Linked DNA regions of Lytechinus pictus. The protein of the gene in region 1 interacts with the protein of each later gene in a pairwise test. Links are inferred from orthologs where the notes say so. Each region holds a gene or a part of one and is shown on either strand. Other genes may lie near its edges.

The links.
Region 2: the proteins of RING finger protein unkempt homolog (region 1) and headcase protein homolog interact in binary tests that used the Drosophila melanogaster proteins (3 or more experiments, as listed by UniProt). The link is inferred for Lytechinus pictus from reciprocal best matches to the Drosophila melanogaster genes unk and heca.

What each region holds. Positions count from the first base shown.
Region 1 is NC_087254.1:22,870,001-22,878,916, forward strand, and holds the start of RING finger protein unkempt homolog, read left to right. Parts: upstream 1-3,836; 5' UTR 3,837-3,945; coding exon 3,946-4,019; intron 4,020-4,122; coding exon 4,123-4,332; intron 4,333-8,561; coding exon 8,562-8,916. Other genes in the region: TNF receptor-associated factor 6-like, read right to left, coding at 1,435-1,492, 1,808-2,193. UniProt on the Drosophila melanogaster protein: Essential for late larval/early pupal development.
Region 2 is NC_087248.1:21,937,256-21,946,171, forward strand, and holds the start of headcase protein homolog, read left to right. Parts: upstream 1-4,160; 5' UTR 4,161-4,332; coding exon 4,333-6,237; 3' UTR 6,238-8,916. UniProt on the Drosophila melanogaster protein: Required for imaginal cell differentiation, may be involved in hormonal responsiveness during metamorphosis. Involved in an inhibitory signaling mechanism to determine the number of cells that will form unicellular sprouts in the trachea.

The DNA.
Region 1 (8,916 bases):
ATCAAGTATCACTGAACATCCTGCATGAGTTTCACGACACATGACCAAGGTCAAAGGTCATTTAGGGTCAATGAACTTTGGCCGAATTGGGGGTATCTGTTGAATTACCATCATAACTTTGAAAGTTTATGGATCTGATTCATGAAACTTGGACATAATAGTAATCAAGTATTACTGAACATCCTGTGCAAGTTTCAGGTCACATGATCAAGGTCAAAGGTCATTTAGGGTCAATGAACTTTGGCCAAATTGGGGTATTTGTTGAATTACAGCCATAAATTTGAAAGTGTGTTGGTCTAGTTCATAAAACTTGGACATAAGAGTAATCAAGTATCACTGAACATCCTGTGCGAGTTTCAGGTCACATGATCAAGGTCAAAGGTCATGTAAGGTCAAAGAACTTTGGCCACGTTGGGGGTATTTGTTGAATTGCCATCATATCTCTATAAGTGTATTGGTCTAATTCATAAAACGTGGAAATACGAGTAACCAAGTATCACTGAACATCTTGTGCGAGTTATAGTAGTTTTCAAAATCAGCACTGCTGCTATATTGAATCGCGTGATGCAGGTGAGACGGCCAGAGGCATTCCACTTGTTATACTTTGATAACCGTTTCTTAGTATAAAAGGTGAATAAGAACTGTAGGGCGGTGCCCTTCCCACCAGGATTTATCATTCTTTTGCGGAGGATATGGTAAGGGTTGTAATGGACCATGGCCACATGCATCGGAAGGGGGGGGGGGGTTGCAGGGGGAAGTTGCTCCACAAAAAGTTTGAAAACAAAATAAACAAAATTGCACACGAAATCCTTTAATTTCACTTTAGGAAGAGCAAAAGCACCCTAACGACAAGCTCGGTCGCTTTGCTATTTCGCTTTTGAGTTCTTCAGATATTTTCACATGTCTTGTTCCCCCGAAAAAAATTATGCGTTCGACCATGTGCATGATTTGATTTATTAACATGAATATGAAAAAATGTTCTTAAGATCCTAAATTAACAAGGACAGAAATGGTAATAAAGTGACTGGAATCAGGAGGAGGAGGAGGGGAGGAGGAGGGGAGGAGGAGGGGAGGAGGAGGAGGAGGAGGAGAAGAAGAAGAATAAGAAGAAGGAGGAGGAGGAGGTAGAAGAATGAGAAGGAAAAAGAAGAAGAAGAAGAAGAAGAAGGAAGAAGAAGAAGAAGAAGAAGAAGAAGAAAAAGAAAAAGAAGAAGCTAGAAGAAGGAGGAGGAGGAGAAGGAGGAGGAAGAAGAAGGAAGAAGGAGGAGGAGAAGTAAATTGGGAAATGAGGAAGAAGAAGAAAATGAAGAAGAAGATGATGAAGAAGAAGATGATGAATGAGAAGGTGACGAAGGGGGTTGAGGATGAGAAGCTATAATGCGACGAGGAGGAGGAGAAAGGGGGTCGGGGATAAAGACTAAAATATATACTTACTTCACTGCGGACATCAAAGAATAATTTATCCAGAGGGCATTTGGCCACATTCCCCGGTCTAGAAAAAGTAGAGACCAGTATTAAACTTTTAGAAAATCAAAGAAAAAAAATAACGGTTATGTTCCTTAAGAAACATATATGACTTTTCCCATGACTACGTAAGTTATAGAGTATCAGTATTCAATGCAATACCCATGCCAGTCGAATGTTCAAAGCATTTTCATAACATCGTTTAATTTCTTACCGGCATTGGTGTCAATACATTTTCCGAAAGTCGACAATATCTGAGTGGAATTACCCTGTACGAGTTTCTTTTTAAAAGCCCTTTTGTAAGTCTTGAGATAGAATATAATACTTGAAGGGAACTTCTTACCCACTTGCCAGCGTCAAACACACTTTGCAAAACCTGTGCCCACATTTCGTTTGCAGAGGGTCACGGAGCGCCGACAGACAGACAGGACATACATATTTCTTGTCCAGCGGGGATTCGAACTGAGCCTCGTATCCACAAACTGCTGGTGACTCTGAACCGTCCGTGGTCGGGGAGACGGCTGCAGCTACTGCTGTCGTTGCACCAGTATCGTATGTCTCTTCTGCCCCGACTGCACTTTCTTCTTCCAACGCCATGACTTCTTCTGTTATTGAAAAAGTGTCGGTAGGACCCCGCCCAAAACCGCCGCCGAATCTTTGATCTCTGCGTTCCCGCCGACTATCGTATCGGTCGAAGAATCCACGATTTTGACGACGAGTCACAGGCATTTTGAATTGGTATTTTTCTTCTCCAGAAGCAATGCAACATCAAACTCTTAGAGCATTTGAAAGATGACGATGAAGTACAAACCACCGAAATACTCGCTTCTCTAGCTCGTGAACAATTCACTCAATCACCCGGCTCAATCATTTCGGGTTCTTTGAAAAGAGGGAGTAATAGCTAATTCACCATGCTGTTCGAAGGCACCATGCGAGCAAACTATGTCAGGCATGTGCTTAACTGGATTTTTCTTACAAACTGAAAGACAAAAGATTCATGCCTGACTAGCTACAGGCTCATACCATTTTCAAAGGAAATGTGCTTTTGTATCACTGCCATTTGTCGGGTGAATAGGTGCGAATGGGGGGGGGGGGGGGTAGAGTGCATTGCACTGCCACCACGCTATAGGCATTTTTTGTGTGTCTATCGATTTCTCTGTTCATTCATCAGCATGTTTGGAAGCGTTCGGTAGCATTGGAAGAAATCCGATTGATTGATAACATCGCAATGATTTGTTAGCACGTAAAAATAAAACAATTGTGGATGCCGCCGGATAGTACAATACCAGTACTATCACCTAATTATCTAACAAAATTATTTAAAACTAAATCCAAAGTCATACATGTACGAACACATTTTGCATCATTAGTAAAACGACCATCGGCAAGAAATTGAATGTTAGAAATCGATATTTTTTAACTTCTAAAAAGATAAAATTGTAAACTCCAGCTGGTAAAAGCCTTGAATTTCCGAGCACCATTTTCTGTAGTCTTGTTTATAGTTATAGAATGACTCCGGAACCCGGGGGGGGGGCACTCGACCAAAAAAGTGGTAGGGGTGTGCCGCGGGCGAGGCAAAAAACGGGGGCCTTGGAGCGGGCTTATTGTAAAAAGGAGGGTCCTCGGAACGGGCTTCGGAACTACAAATGTTTGTGAAAAGGGGGTCCTCGGAACGGATCTCCGTATCTCTGTGAGTGCGTATGCATCCCTATGGAACGGGCAATCGTGCATGACGCAGCTAGCGCGGCCTACGCCGGGTGCGCTCGCGCTTAGGCGATGGTCGAAAAGCGCTCTACGGCCGCTTTTCACCAAAATTGTAGCAGATCAATGCGACCGGAACGGCGTAACGAAAAATATGCGAAGCTTTGGAGCTGATTTCTTTCTTCTTTTTTCTCGATAAGAAGGAAATGCTATGCCTTGGAGCGGCTTTCTTTGTTCTTTTTCTCAATAAGACAAAAATGCTATGCCTTGGAACGGAAATTTGAGTGTAAAAATGGGGGTCCCCTCCGCGGCACATACCCACTATGCATTATATACTGAGTGCCCCCCCCCCCCCCCGGGCTCCGGAATTGGATCGCGAGGACAGGCCTGTATAATAATATGTGGCGTGCCATATCGTGAGTTTGTGAGTAATCAAACTGCCTTTGCCTGGCGAAACCTTGGCCAGTCAAGTATAAAATGTTTAGAATTATTTATTTTGTGTTTGGTCAAGAGTTTTTGAGATTTGAATTAATCGCAATTAAAAGTTATTTGTCGTTTGTTTTGGTAAACAAATGCACGTGTGTATCGCTCAGCTGTTTTGCCAAAATACGTGACGTCAGGGGGAAGCCCAGGTCATGTGACTTCATTCACTGGCTGAGGATTTTGACGTCAGAGTGAAGCTGATTGGCTTTGCAAAGAAGAGGTTTTCGCGCGGGCTAAATTCCCATCGTATGTGCGTACGTGCGGCGTGCACGTACAATAACAGCTAAAGTTATCAAAATGCCGTCCGAGCAGCAGAAGACTTCGGCTAATCAAGTCGTTTCTGCTCAACCAGAAAAACCTTTTCACTATACGTGAGTATACGAATACTGTGATTAATACATTCTGCTTCATTCTATGATTGTTTCAAAATATTTCCATGTTGTCTTCATGATGTTTTTTCGCTTTACTTTTCAGTTACCTGAAGGAGTTTCGTACACAACAATGCCAGGATTTCTTGCAACACAAGTGTCCAAATCATCGACCTTTTACTTGTTTTCAATGGCATTTTCTTAATCAACGAAGAAGGAGACCGATACGAAAACGTGATGGAACATTTAATTATAGCCCGGATATATATTGCTCCAAGTATGACGAAACTTCAGGCCTTTGTGAAGACAGAGATGAGTGAGTATTGCCATTGTTTTTGTCCCGGAGTTGAGAGATAGCTCAGCTGTAGTGCGTTAATGACGCCATGTTTGTTATTGCCGATACGCAAAAAACTTGTTGACATAATTTGACAGAAATTTGCACTCGAGTAGTTCAAGCGACAAGAAGAAAGCATCGATGTATTGCATACCAACTTATGTTAAATTTACCACAGACTATTTTGATATTGTTAAAATCATGTGTTATTGGGTTAAAACGGCAAAATCTGTCGCTGCTGCAATGTAGTTACATCCAAACAATTCACAATGTGCTATTGCAAATGTAGTGGATTCATATTTGGGCGCGCTCCCGCACGTTTAATTGCGTGCCTTGTTTTGTTCGGAGCGTGACGGCCGAATGGGACGGGCACGGCATGCAATCATCCCAGGCAAGTGATAAGGGTCAGCTCGGCCCGGACCAGTAATCTGTCATGATTGGGGAATTGGGGTTTCATGTTTCTGAGCAGAACTCCATCCAAATCTAACCATTTGATAGTGCAAAAGGTAGTGAACATCTGACTGTGATTTGCAATACTAGGCCCGGCCCTGGCCCTGCACATGCAGAATGCCCAATTCCAACAACCACCCTAGTATAACGTTAGTGTTTTAAAACAAACAGCACCTGAGCATAGCCAGGTTTGTGTAACTATTGGTAATTATGTTTTTCAAATGGATAGCAGCCTTTTAATCAAATGAGAATGTTTATGCCAAATAAATGTATTATTCTTGCTATTTAATTAATTTTGAAGGGAGATCCAAACAAAATATTTAGAAAAGGAAGTTTAAAAAAATGAATGAAGCAGAAAAAAAAAATATTGTTTGTTGCATGTTTGTGATGTTAAGCCCCCATCACACTTATTCCGAATCAAGCAGAATTGGCCTGAATGAAAGGACTATTGTTTGACAACCAGTTGGTCATTTAAATCTACTTTGAACACCGTTCGAAAATATTCCTCAAATGTTTTGAACATGACCAAAACCTTCGGGACGGCCAAAAGAAATGACAAAAATATTTCGAATGCACTCAGAATGCAGTCAGGATATTTAGAATGCCCCTAGAATGTCCGAGAACGTAGCACGAATTATCAATCTGACTCCATTGCGGTTCATTTTGACTAGTGTATGATGATACACCTGGTCAATTTACTGAATTTCAACTCCAGTTTGGTGTGAAGAATTGTGAAGTTCCTCCCAAAAATTTCTAGATTTTTTGAATATTTTTTTCTTTCCAGCTTCTGCTTGATTCCTGCTGATTCCAAATAAGTGTGATGGGGGCTTTAGATTTTGACAACTTTTCCAAAAAATCATTCAGAATAATGTTTAAATTTTATACAGAAGTATGCTACATCTACATGTACATGTAGACCTATAATGATGATTGGTATGTGTTATATTTATTACCAATTGGTACAAGAATGTACTGTGCTTAAACTGTAAAAGCGCTGTTTAAAAATCAAGCACGTTGTTTAAGCCCATCAATCTTATAATTATTGTTTAAAGTTTTTAAACAACTGTTTAAATTTAAAAAAAAAAGTTTAAATAACTTGTTACAGTGACAGGCTTAAACAATGTGCTATATTTTTTTACTGTGTAGGCACTTGAAGAAATACCACAAACTCCTGAAATTAAAGAACACTACAAATGACAAAAAATGTCCTTTTTCAAACTTATATACATGTAGCATTCCTATTATATATTTTTTTGCTTTACTGTACGATGTAGGTTGGATTATACTAAAATGATTCTAAAGGCCTGCATTTAGCATTCACCTAATTATCTGACTTGCTTTAAAAGATATTCATACCTGTACATATAATCTGTTTCTGTATTTGCGTTGATAGACTGTTATACTCTGAAGTATGGCCAGTGATTGCTTTTGCGTAAAAATGATTGAAGTGTAAAGCCTACTGTAGTAAATTGTACTGGGTGTTGTGGCGTGCGCCTGTAATCCAAGCTATGTGGAGAAGTTACAAATTGATGCAGAGGTGTGAGCCCTGGTCAAGTCTTTCGGATGGTGACGTTAAAGGTTGGTCCCAGACTCAAAATACACACATACACACACACACTCAAATCCAAAAATGTCATCCATAATGAAACAATTACAGTACATGTGTGTTTACATTCTAAGACCAAAAGCTTCTGTCTCTGTAGTACTGTACATTGGCTCTTCCGCTGAACTCCTTTGGCTCCACTTACAATGTAAACAAGTGTTTTAAAAATGTATAAAAACTCCTCCAAACAGACAGATTTCAGCTGTCTCATTCTAAGTATGCATTTTAAGCACTTTCTCTGCAAATTAGTACAAGGTAGTTTGAACTTTTCAGTATAATGTATTGTATACATGTAAATGTATTTCTATCGAAGAAAATGATATAATCTACAATGCTACATAATGCATATAGAGTTTGTATATACTAGACTAGTGTTATTTAACAGTATCAACGAAGAAGGAAAGATGTATTGTACATATCTGGTGTGTATATTTGAAAAATCTAAGGGGGGGGGGCAAAGGTGAAAAAAATTTATCCACAGATGGCAAGCAATTCATTGCTTCAAAAATTACTATTGGTATTTATACCAAATTATTACAAACATTCCAAATCAAATGTATGGGAAAAGAAATCTTGTTGTTCTGAAACTTCTGTGACAAATCTAATCTCCCAGAAGAAAGTTTCTCCATGTGATAAGGTCAGTTTTAATATTCAAGATTTTAGCAAAATGTTTTAGAAACAAACATAATATGACAAAGCTACAAAGTACATGTAAAGTACATCGTACAGTAACAGACAGCAAAATATTTCAATTATGTTTCTGTATCTGCACACAATTACAGTATACTGTACGGTACATGTAGTTCTTGACTCAAGGAAAGATCGGGAACTTTTATGTTGATGAGTTGAGCTTGAGCATATAAAGTGAAACCCTTCATGAATACAGTACACTCTGTTGAAGTTGATATTAAGTCAAATAATTGCCTTCATGTTATGTAAATTATCAAATTATTATCTCAGACCAGAATTAAATAGCTTAGTCAAATACATGTTCATGTATATTTCTGTGGTCTCAAAAGATGCGACTTACATGTACATGTGTAGGTTATCCAGGTCCCTGTTGCATAAAAGTTACTCTTTTCAATCCAATGCTAATCAGCCAATGAGAATCAATGATTTCAGGGAAGAAACCATTGGATTACCATTGCCATCCAATGGTACAAAAGTATGTAACTACCATGGTAACGATGTTCAGCAGCCAATCAAAATCAAAGATTCCATGCAAGTTACCATTGTATGGCAAAGTTACCATTTGCTACAGCCCAAAAAAAGCCCAAAATTGATCAATTGATTGTGAAATTGCACCAGGGCCCTGTTCATGGTTGCCAACCATTCAGTTTTTAACGAATTGGTCCCGTTTTTTAAAGTTTTTATATCCCTAAAAAGACATAACGTTCCGACGTGGGGATTTTGGGACATTTGGCTTTTCATACTCGCATGGGTCCGAGTTGCGCTGAATGGGTTTCTGTTGCATGAAAGTTACCATTATGGTAAATTTGCCATCCAATAATGGTACATGTACATGTAACTTGCATGGAATCCTTGATTTTGATTGGCTGTTCACATGTACATGTACATGTAGTTAAATGTACCATTGGATGGCAGAGTTAACTTCCATGCAACAGGACCCAGAAAATTTGTGATTGATTGCAAATGTTTTCTTGCAACACTTCCTATGTCTTATCTGATCGCCAGGGGCACTGGAAATTTTTTTTTTTTTCGTGTTATGCGTTTCCCTCTATTCCCCCTATTTCATAGAAAAATCTACATACTGTATATACACGTAGGTGACATAAGCTATTGACAGTACCACAATTTTTTTTAGCCCCTGTGAGCATGTGATGTTGCCTCCTCAATCCAGCATTGCTCCTGGCGTGCCTTATGTATTATCGATACATACAGTGTATTGTGACAGTTCATGGACATTCATATATTTTAGCCTGTTGCTACAAAATTTCACAACACTCTTTGGCTGAACTTTTTACATTTTATGATGAATGCATGTGGTGTATGCACAATTTTTTTTTGTGAGAAAAAATGTTATAATAAAAAAAATTGCATTGTAGCCAAGTAGGAAGAACTCAACTGTACTTTAAGAGTGATGTTTTTATCATTTATTTCCTGTGGTAATGTTGCATTTTTTCATTTGTATCTGAAGGTGCCCCTACCTTCACCGAAATACAGGAGATACAGAGAGAAGGTACCACTTGAGATACTACAAGACAGGAACCTGTGTTCATGAGACCGATGCCAGAGGACACTGTGTCAAGAACGGTCCTCACTGTGCATTTGCACATGGCCCTCATGACCTACGACAGCCTGTCTATGACATCCGGGAGATGGCCCAGACAAAGGCTCCAGGACAGGGGGTTCCTTCGGTGTTGCCTCCAGAGTGCACGACGCTGTCAAGTGACTTAGGATCCCTAACGGCTAATCTCATCACCACACAGGCTCCTTCAGTAGCACCTCCTGCTGTATCAACAGACAAGGATAAAACAATGTATGTAGATGAT
Region 2 (8,916 bases), on another chromosome or scaffold:
GGTAGGTAGGTAGGTAGATAGATGGATGGATAGATAAATAGATAGATAGATAGGTAGATGTAGATAGGTAGATAGATAGATAGATAGATTTAGATAGATAGATAGCTAGATAGATAGATGTAGATAGATGGATAGATAGATAGATAGATAGCTAGAGAGATAGATAGATAGATAGATAGATAGATAGATAGATAGATAGATAGATAGATAGATAGATAGATGTAGATAGATAGAGAGAGAGATATATATATATATAGATAGATAGATAGATAGATAGATAGATAGACAGACAGACATATATAGATAGATAGGTAGGTAGAGAGAGAGAGATTGACTTTATGGACTAGATGGATGGAAAGATTGAATATTAATGACAAAAGTAAAATGATGGAAGAATGAAGAAGACATCAATGGATCAAGTGGAGAAGGATCGAGGTGGATGGATAGATACATGGATTTATGAATAGAACTGAGAAAGTGGATTGATGGATGGAAAGATGATGGGGTGGACTGATAGATGAATGGAGGGACTCAGCGAATGTATGAATTAGAAAAGAAATGAATGGATGAAGTAGGGAATGGACAGATAATGGATATATGAATCGAGAGCCTGGATGGATGACCTACAGAAGGGATCAATGGATAAAGTGTGAGAGAGATGTATGGATGGGTGGGTGGATGGATGGATGGATAGATGGGTGGGTGGGTGGATGGATGAATGAAAGGATGGGTGGATGGGCGGGTGGGTGGGTGGATAGATGGATGGGTGGGTGGATGGATGGATGGGTGGGTGGGTGGGTGGGTGGGTGGATGGATGGATGGATGGTTGGTTGGATGGATGGATGGATGGATGGGTGGATGGGTGGATGGATGGATGGGTGGATGGTTGGTTGGATGGTTGGTTGGATGGATGGATGGATGGATGGATGGATGGATGGTGGATGGATGGATTGGTGGATGGATGGATGGGTGGATGGATGGATGGATGGTTGGTTGGTTGGATGGATGGATGGTGGATGGATGGATTGGTGGCCGGTGGATGGTGGGTTGGATGGATGGATGGGTGGATGATCGGATGGATGGGTGGATGGATGGATGGATGGATGGTTGGTTGGTTGGATGGATGGATGGGTGGATGGATGGATGGGTGGGTGAGTGGATGGATGGATGGGTGGATGGATGGATGGATGGTTGGTTGGTTGGATGGATGGATGGTGGATGGATGGATTGGTGGCCGGTGGATGGTGGGTTGGATGGATGGATGGGTGGATGATCGGATGGATGGGTGGATGGATGGATGGATGGTTGGTTGGTTGGATGGATGGATGGGTGGATGGATGGATGGGTGGGTGGGTGAGTGGATGGAAGGATGGATGGAGTGGGTGGAAGGGGGAACGGACGGACGGTTGGCCGGTGGGTGGATGGATGCATGCATGCATAAACTGGAGAAGGGTAAATTTTGATGAAGAGGGAAAAGAAGCAATAAGAAGTGAAAAGGGTCATATACTGTGTTATGTGAGAAGAGTGTTATTAACCCCCTGAAACTGACTGTGTTTCATGAAATCAGCTTTTAAAATGGGCGTGATTATAAGGGCAAAAGATAGAGGTTTGACTTGAGGACGTCTAGAAGAGAGTTCCTTTTGCTTTGTTTTCTTTATATACTATTTCTTTTAATCAATTTCCAGCCAAGCATCAAAAGGCAATATAATGATCCAATGAAATTACACACTAAATTGTAGGGATTTAAAGTAAATCCACGTAGATAATAGTTAGGGATCAATCGAATTCTGGAATTATTTTTAATCCTAAACTTCATTTTTAAAGGATTTAAATTAAAATTCCTAACTAACTTTAAAATATTTTTAGGATTAAAATTAAATCTATAATACGATTGGTATACCTAACTACAGACCACCTGGATTTATTTTAAATCCCTGCAATTTAGAGTGGGAGACCCACCTCCCCCCCCCCCCAAAAAAAAAAAGTGTGCAAACCAGCCAACAGAATATTGGTGTGAGCACAAAAAGAACTGATTACAAACAACTCTGTTTCTATCAAAGCATCTCTGACTATATCTGCCGATATAATCAGTCCAATCATTAAAAACTCATAGGGAAAACATACGCGTAATTAGAAAAAATGCAAATGAGTAGTGAATAAATGGGGAATTTTATCTTTTAAAAGAAAATGAAAGAAAGAAAGAAGGATCGAAGGAAAGAAAGAAAGAAAGAAAGAAGGAAGGAAGGAAGGAAAGAAAGAAAGAAAGAAAGAAAGGACAAGAAGAGATAGATCTATATTTATTTATTTATTTATTTATTTATTTATTTATTCATGCATGTTCACAATATACAATGTAAAAGAATACACAGATAATGTATAAATATATGAAAACACAAGTAAATAATGAACATACAAAGGTGTTGCAACATAAGCTAAAAGCTTGATTGGTTTAAGCACCTTTAAACTGGTTTTGCATCCAAGAAAACAAAATAAAAATGTAAGAATAAGGAAGAGAGGAAAGAAAGAGAAGAATGTAAAAGTGATAGACTGCCGAGATATAACAATTAAGTTTTAAATTGTTATGAATATATGGTAGAGTAATTCAACAAAGTTAAATTCTTAATCTTCAGTTACGAATAAGAGAAAGAAAGAAGATTTAATTACTTACATGTATACGTTACTAGCAGTTTACACATTCTGTAATTTTGAAAGGAGATTGTGCTTTACAGCCAATTTAAAAGAATGTGAGGTTTTCAAATTTCGAATATTATGTGGAAGAGAATTCCAAACATCTGAACCACGGTGTCTGATTGATTTATGAGCTAATGCGGTGCGGGGATTAACCAAATGTATGTTCGATGACTGTCTTGTGCTATATGAATGGACAGTGCTGTTAGGCTGAAACATTGAAGAAAATGAGTCAGGCAGCATATTGGCATTAAAACGGAACATAAATAAGGCAGTTTGCAAAAAATTTATATCTTCTACCTTCAAACACTTCAGCTTTACAAATAAGGGATTTGTATGGTCTCTGTAACCAGACCCAGTACATGTGCGAACTGCTTTCTTTTGCAGGAGAAATATATTGGTAGTTGACACTTTTGGTAACAAAAAGGAAACTTGGATGAAAAAGTAAACGCAAGAAAAGGGACAATTACTCTTACTTTTATATCCTAAGAATATGTTTCAATGAATTGAGTATCAACAATCTCTCTTCATCCACCCTTGATCTTTTCTGCTTTTCTCCGCTTTCACTCCCTGATAATGTAATCTTTTCAAGCAGCCGCCCGAGGTTCTTTTTTTTTGGGGGGGGGGGGGGTGATTCCTTGATAGGGGGCAAACGTCCTAAAAATTTGACGTCATATTTTTTTTCATTAATTGAATATAGGAGTATTATAGAGTTACATGGCCACGGACTCTCCTTTTTGCTCTTTTTCCCACTTATTTTTCGCCCTATATACTTGAAAAATCCCAGAGGATGGTGTGGTGCCGCGCCCTTGTCCGTTCCCTAATTCTCTTTTTATATTACTTCATCCATACGCGCACCCCCCCCCCTTCTTTTTTCTACTGTCTCTACTAAACTTTTGCTCTCATCAATCTTTATTTTTCATGCTATATAGCTGCTTGAATACCTCACCAGCCAAAACTAGAATATTGTGTTCGTATCAATCATATTAAAGATGAAGAGGAGTTTGCGCGTCAATCGATCATTATCTAATATTACGTAATGCATTGCAATGTCCCGGAAACAACGGTGTATACAGTTGTATGCTAATTGGTCCCGAGTGAATGCCCCCAAACCCTTATTAAATTACTAATTACATTCACTGCCGCTATAGCTTCGTACTTACAATGTCCTATTTTATCATAATACACAGAGAACCACACTTCCCTGGTACATGGTTTGAAGGAATACAGTATGATTGACAAATTTACAGAATCAAAACAAACGAGTTGATCCCTGAACGCTGAGCACTTGGCACAGTTACGGTAAACCCGTCAATGCAAAAACCACAATGTCGTGCGCAAAAGATAAGCCCGAGTTGTTTACTCGCAGCTCTATGCAAATTTGCAATTACATCATCTTGGTCCAATCACCGAGCCTGATAATTTACACTGTCGAGGCTTGGTCCAATGACAGACCTTGAACCAAATATGCTAAAAGACGATCTGGGCACCGAGACACGCCTCCAGCGGACCCCAAATATCCAAACAATCATCTCGAAAGCGTGAGACGAACCTCATGTGCATTTGTTTACATCATAAATTGGACTGAATTTTGGGATTTATCAATACCCCGTTACAACCATTCTGTGTAAAATGTAATCGTCTATGTTTTGTCGGACAGCCATGCCGTTCTCTCGCGATGATAAACAGCATAGAGCCGACCAATTTCGCCAGCAAGTAGAAGAACAGCTGGATGAGCAAGATGCTGGCGATGGTGATGGCGAAGTAAACAACAATGAACACGAGGAGCCATGTTGTGTTCCGTTGAGTTGCACTGAAGGCGAATCTGTGCATACGGACGATCCGGATGACTGTCAAAAAGTTGTCTGCAACAATCCGGAGTGCACACAGGGGAAATACATGCATAAGATTTGCTTTGATATATGGGAGGATGAAGTTCTAACATATCTGCGATCGTCTGGTCGGGCGAGAAGCTGGTCGGAAAAGCAGCGTCGCCAGAATTTGTGGACAAAGAAAGGCTACGACTTGGCGTGGAAAGCATGCTCGTGCAAGTGTGGCAAGGGTCATCTACGGAAGGACCTGGAATGGATACCGCCGAAGCTCCCCGAGGGTGCTGCTGCTGAGAATGCCCAGCAACGTAGACATCGACGCCGCAAGAAGTCCAATGAGAAACCAACCATTGGCCGAGCTAATTCGATCAGTTCAAGTTCTGGAAATGGCAATGGAAATGGCAATGGGAATGGAAATGGCCACGGAAATGGACACGGTAGACTGCGACACACATCAGCTTCGTCAACAGCATCGACCGAAAGCAACCACACTCCACCACAAAGTCCAAGTGTTTATCAACCAGGCAGCAAAAACCAACGTTTTCCACCACAGATAGCAGTGGTTTCGAATCCACCTACCAGTACCGTTTCTGCTGCCACAGCTGCAACTTCTAGCCACCCAGCAACACCTACCACAACAGCAACATCGACTGCAAGTTCAACAGCATCCGCTGTAACCCCAACATCGGTGAGCCACAGCACACAGTCACAGAGCCATGATAATTGGAATAAGCGGCAACATGGTGGAAGCAGTGGCGGAAAAATCCAGAATCAACCCCATCATTTTGTATCTCCGATGCCACAGCAGCAGTATCAGGGGCCACAATCTCATCACGACTACCATGGGCCACCACTGAGTATGGCCCATCACCAACAGGGTGGCAACAGGCAGGCCCAACCTACCAACAGATCACCACAATTTCATCACGGTGGACCACCTGACTTTCGACCGCAGGGAGAGAGGTCTGGCAACATGCAAGCTGCCCTCAACACCAACTTCTTCAGCAGCAATGTCTACTGGAATCCCACTACGGATAACATGCCTCCTCCTGGCAGCAGTTCAAATAGCAGTGGCAGTGGCGGAACTGGTACACGAGGTTTCTTACCACGTTTGGATCTGTCTGCCTTCTACCAGGTGTTGCCGGCACACAAGCTCAACTCGTACCACATCAAGATGGAAGAGGACAGTCAGCCGGAGTCCGAGGAGATACGCTCCTTCATATTCGCGACTCTCAATATACATGGCACCCGTGTCATTCCATGTTCCGTGTGTACGAGGAAGCTTCCCGTCTTTGATCGCTATCCTCTGATCGATGGCACATTCTATCTTACTCCGCAACGACAGGGCGATGGTAACAAGGGTCTACAAGTTGGTCTCCAGAGCTCCCAGTACCTGAATGCTGTCTGCATGCAGTGCTTAGAGGGTGTTCAGCGGATCGTCTGCCGTATATGCAAGTCGCGTTGGGATGGTAGTCATCACCAGCTGGGGACGCTCTACTCCTACGACATCTTCGCAGCCTACCCCTGCTGCCCGGGGAGGGCGGGATGCAAGCGGTGCGGCAAGCCAGTCATCGACCCCACCCGCGGCACGCACTTCTTCAGCGAGTACTCAAGGAGTATACAATGCCCCCACTGCGGCGTTCCCGACTTCCACTTTGTGAAACCGCTGAGCAGTTACGAGGTCCACTCCAATTCTGTACAATCGATCAATGTATGTTAACCACTTGATCGCTTTATAGAAGAGTACTGATTCAGTGTACATGTAAGCATACTCCAGCGGAAAGCAAGGATTTTGAATCGCATTATTATGGCAAAATCTTAGACCGATTTGAACTCTCTCGAGCCTGATACGGTGTTATATTTTCTGACCTTTTCATACATAGTTTGTTTTCTTATCTTCTCAGTTTTAAAACTTAGTATCTTGTTTGATATCTATATTTTTTGAAAGCATGGTAATTGAACTTATCGAGATGCTTTGTTTGAAGCATAGATTTTGTTCCTATACAAAGCAGTTCATACATACGTGTAAAGCATTTATCAATATAGATGTTTTTGTATTTAATCAAGTATAATCAATTTGTAAATTGTTGATCACATACATACATGTTTACATTGTATTTGATAGTGTGCTCTATCAGTAATGATCAGTTGATACAAAAGACGACTGATGGTAATTGTATCATTGATTTTCATGCTTTCTGCTGAGTTGCCAAGATTTAGGATATGCCCAATATCAAAATTGGCAGGCATTCAGTTGGCAAAATTAGCAATTTCTCTGTTTGATCATGTGCTCTAGGTATATGAAATTACTCTCAGCATACCGGTAATAGGTCTCCTGGGGCCTGTTGCAGAAAGAGTTGCAATCAAACGCAACTCAAAAAATCTGTCGCATCTTGATTTTCAGCCAATGAAGCACACGCAATGGGGACTTGTGCTTGATATTTTGACTTGCGTTTAAACGCAACTCTTTCTGCAGCAGGCCCCTGAAAGGAAAAATACTTAACTTAAACAACAATAAACAATTGGTTTTTTAAAAGTCTCAGTAAGTTGTTCATTTTGGGAGTACGTAAAGGTTCATCTATGAATAGTGAAGCACCAAATCAATAATGTTGCAAGTGTAGAAATTATTAGTGAAATGCATTTCCTGATTGAATTATTTTAAAGGAAAATTACTCCAGGGCCCCATCTTACAATAGTTACAATTGATCCGATCTAACTCAACTGTATGGAAATCCATTGATGTCATAATTTCTGTCTACAAGGAATTTGTACAGTGTCCTTTGTAAACAAAGAGAAGCACACTGAATTTTTCAAGAAATCAATGAATGTGATATCTAAAAACTGTTGCGAGTAAACATGCATTTTAGATGTTGATGGCTTTCCATAGTTATGTTTGACCAGATCAATTGCAACTCTATGTAAGATGGGGCCTACAATAGGTCACTTCCAATGTGGAAAGACAGAGAACATGTTTTATTTGTTGTTCAGACTGACAAGTGCAAGTAATTTCTTTAATTATTTCCATTTTAGTGAGTCAGACTTGAGCGGTTGGCCTCTTTTCTGTTTTGCGGACTGACACATTGATTACGCTTTCAACAACTTACATGTAGTCATTCAATGTGAAGAGAATTCATTGATTCAAGATTAAGGCAGAGGCTTTGATGTTTCTTTCCTTGCAAACCTAGTAAAGGGGTCTTCCATTAAAGGGGAATTCAGCCTTGGCCATAAAATGTTGTGTTGGGAAGGAGAAAAATAAATTAAACAGAATAGTGAAAGTTTGAAAGAAATCGTACAAGCAATAAGAAAGTTATAGCTGCTTTAAAATTGAGGTCACTAATACTATGTAGATTTCAAATTGGCAACTAGGTATTACAATGTATGACAAGGGGCAAGGACAACTTTCCCATAGGCCATGTATTGTTATCAGGGATTTTTGGTTTTCTCCTAAGTACCCATTCCCCTGGTGCAGTAATCTAAATATAACACAGGAAGTATATTGTTTTATGTCCTCATGAAAGAAAAATATAATTTGCAATAAAACTTTTGGGAAAAATGACATTTTAGCCATAATATGTATTGGAGTACATGGAAGAGTAGTCCTTGCCTTACATCACTATGACATCCCATATGCGGCCAATTTTAAGTCTCCATGGGTATAGTGATTACCAATATTTACAACTTTAAAAAATTCATAACTTTCTTGTTGTTTGTCCAATATTGTTCAAACTTTCACCTATAAACTTGTCTGATTTTTCTTTTCCTTATACAAACAAGTTTTTATTTGGGTTGGATTCCCCTTTAAGTTAGTGAATGAACTTCACAAATGCATGCCATTCAGTTTTGAAATATTTGTTGCTCTGCTTGGCAAGATTTTATGTCATTTCTTAACATCTGCTTGAAATTTGAATGTTTTTATTTTGGATAGATTGGAGATAAATCTGTCCCAGTAACACATACCAACTTAATATTTTCTAATGGTTGATTTACTTCTTAAGACTACTATGTCAATATTTCACTGGAAATGTCCATAACTTTTGATGTACTCTTCAGAAATTATGAGAAATATGAAGTTTAAATTAAAAACATGAAGCTTGAGTGTTGCTAAAAAGCCAAAAAGTGGCTTTTGTGTGGAATTTGAACTCATCTTAATAAATGAGGGGATTGCAAAATTTTGTTTTAATAATTTAATGAACACATTTGAAATAGTCATTTATCTTAATTTCCATCATTGGGGAGAAGCCTTGCATTCTATTTTCATAGATTATTCATCAAACTCATAGATAGAAAACTGTTAGACAATTTGGAAAAAAAAATGGAGAATGTTTGTGAAGTGGACCAACATTGGAATGTGGGGTATTTCCTAAAGGGGGAAAATGTGCATTTGATTTTATTTCTTGGA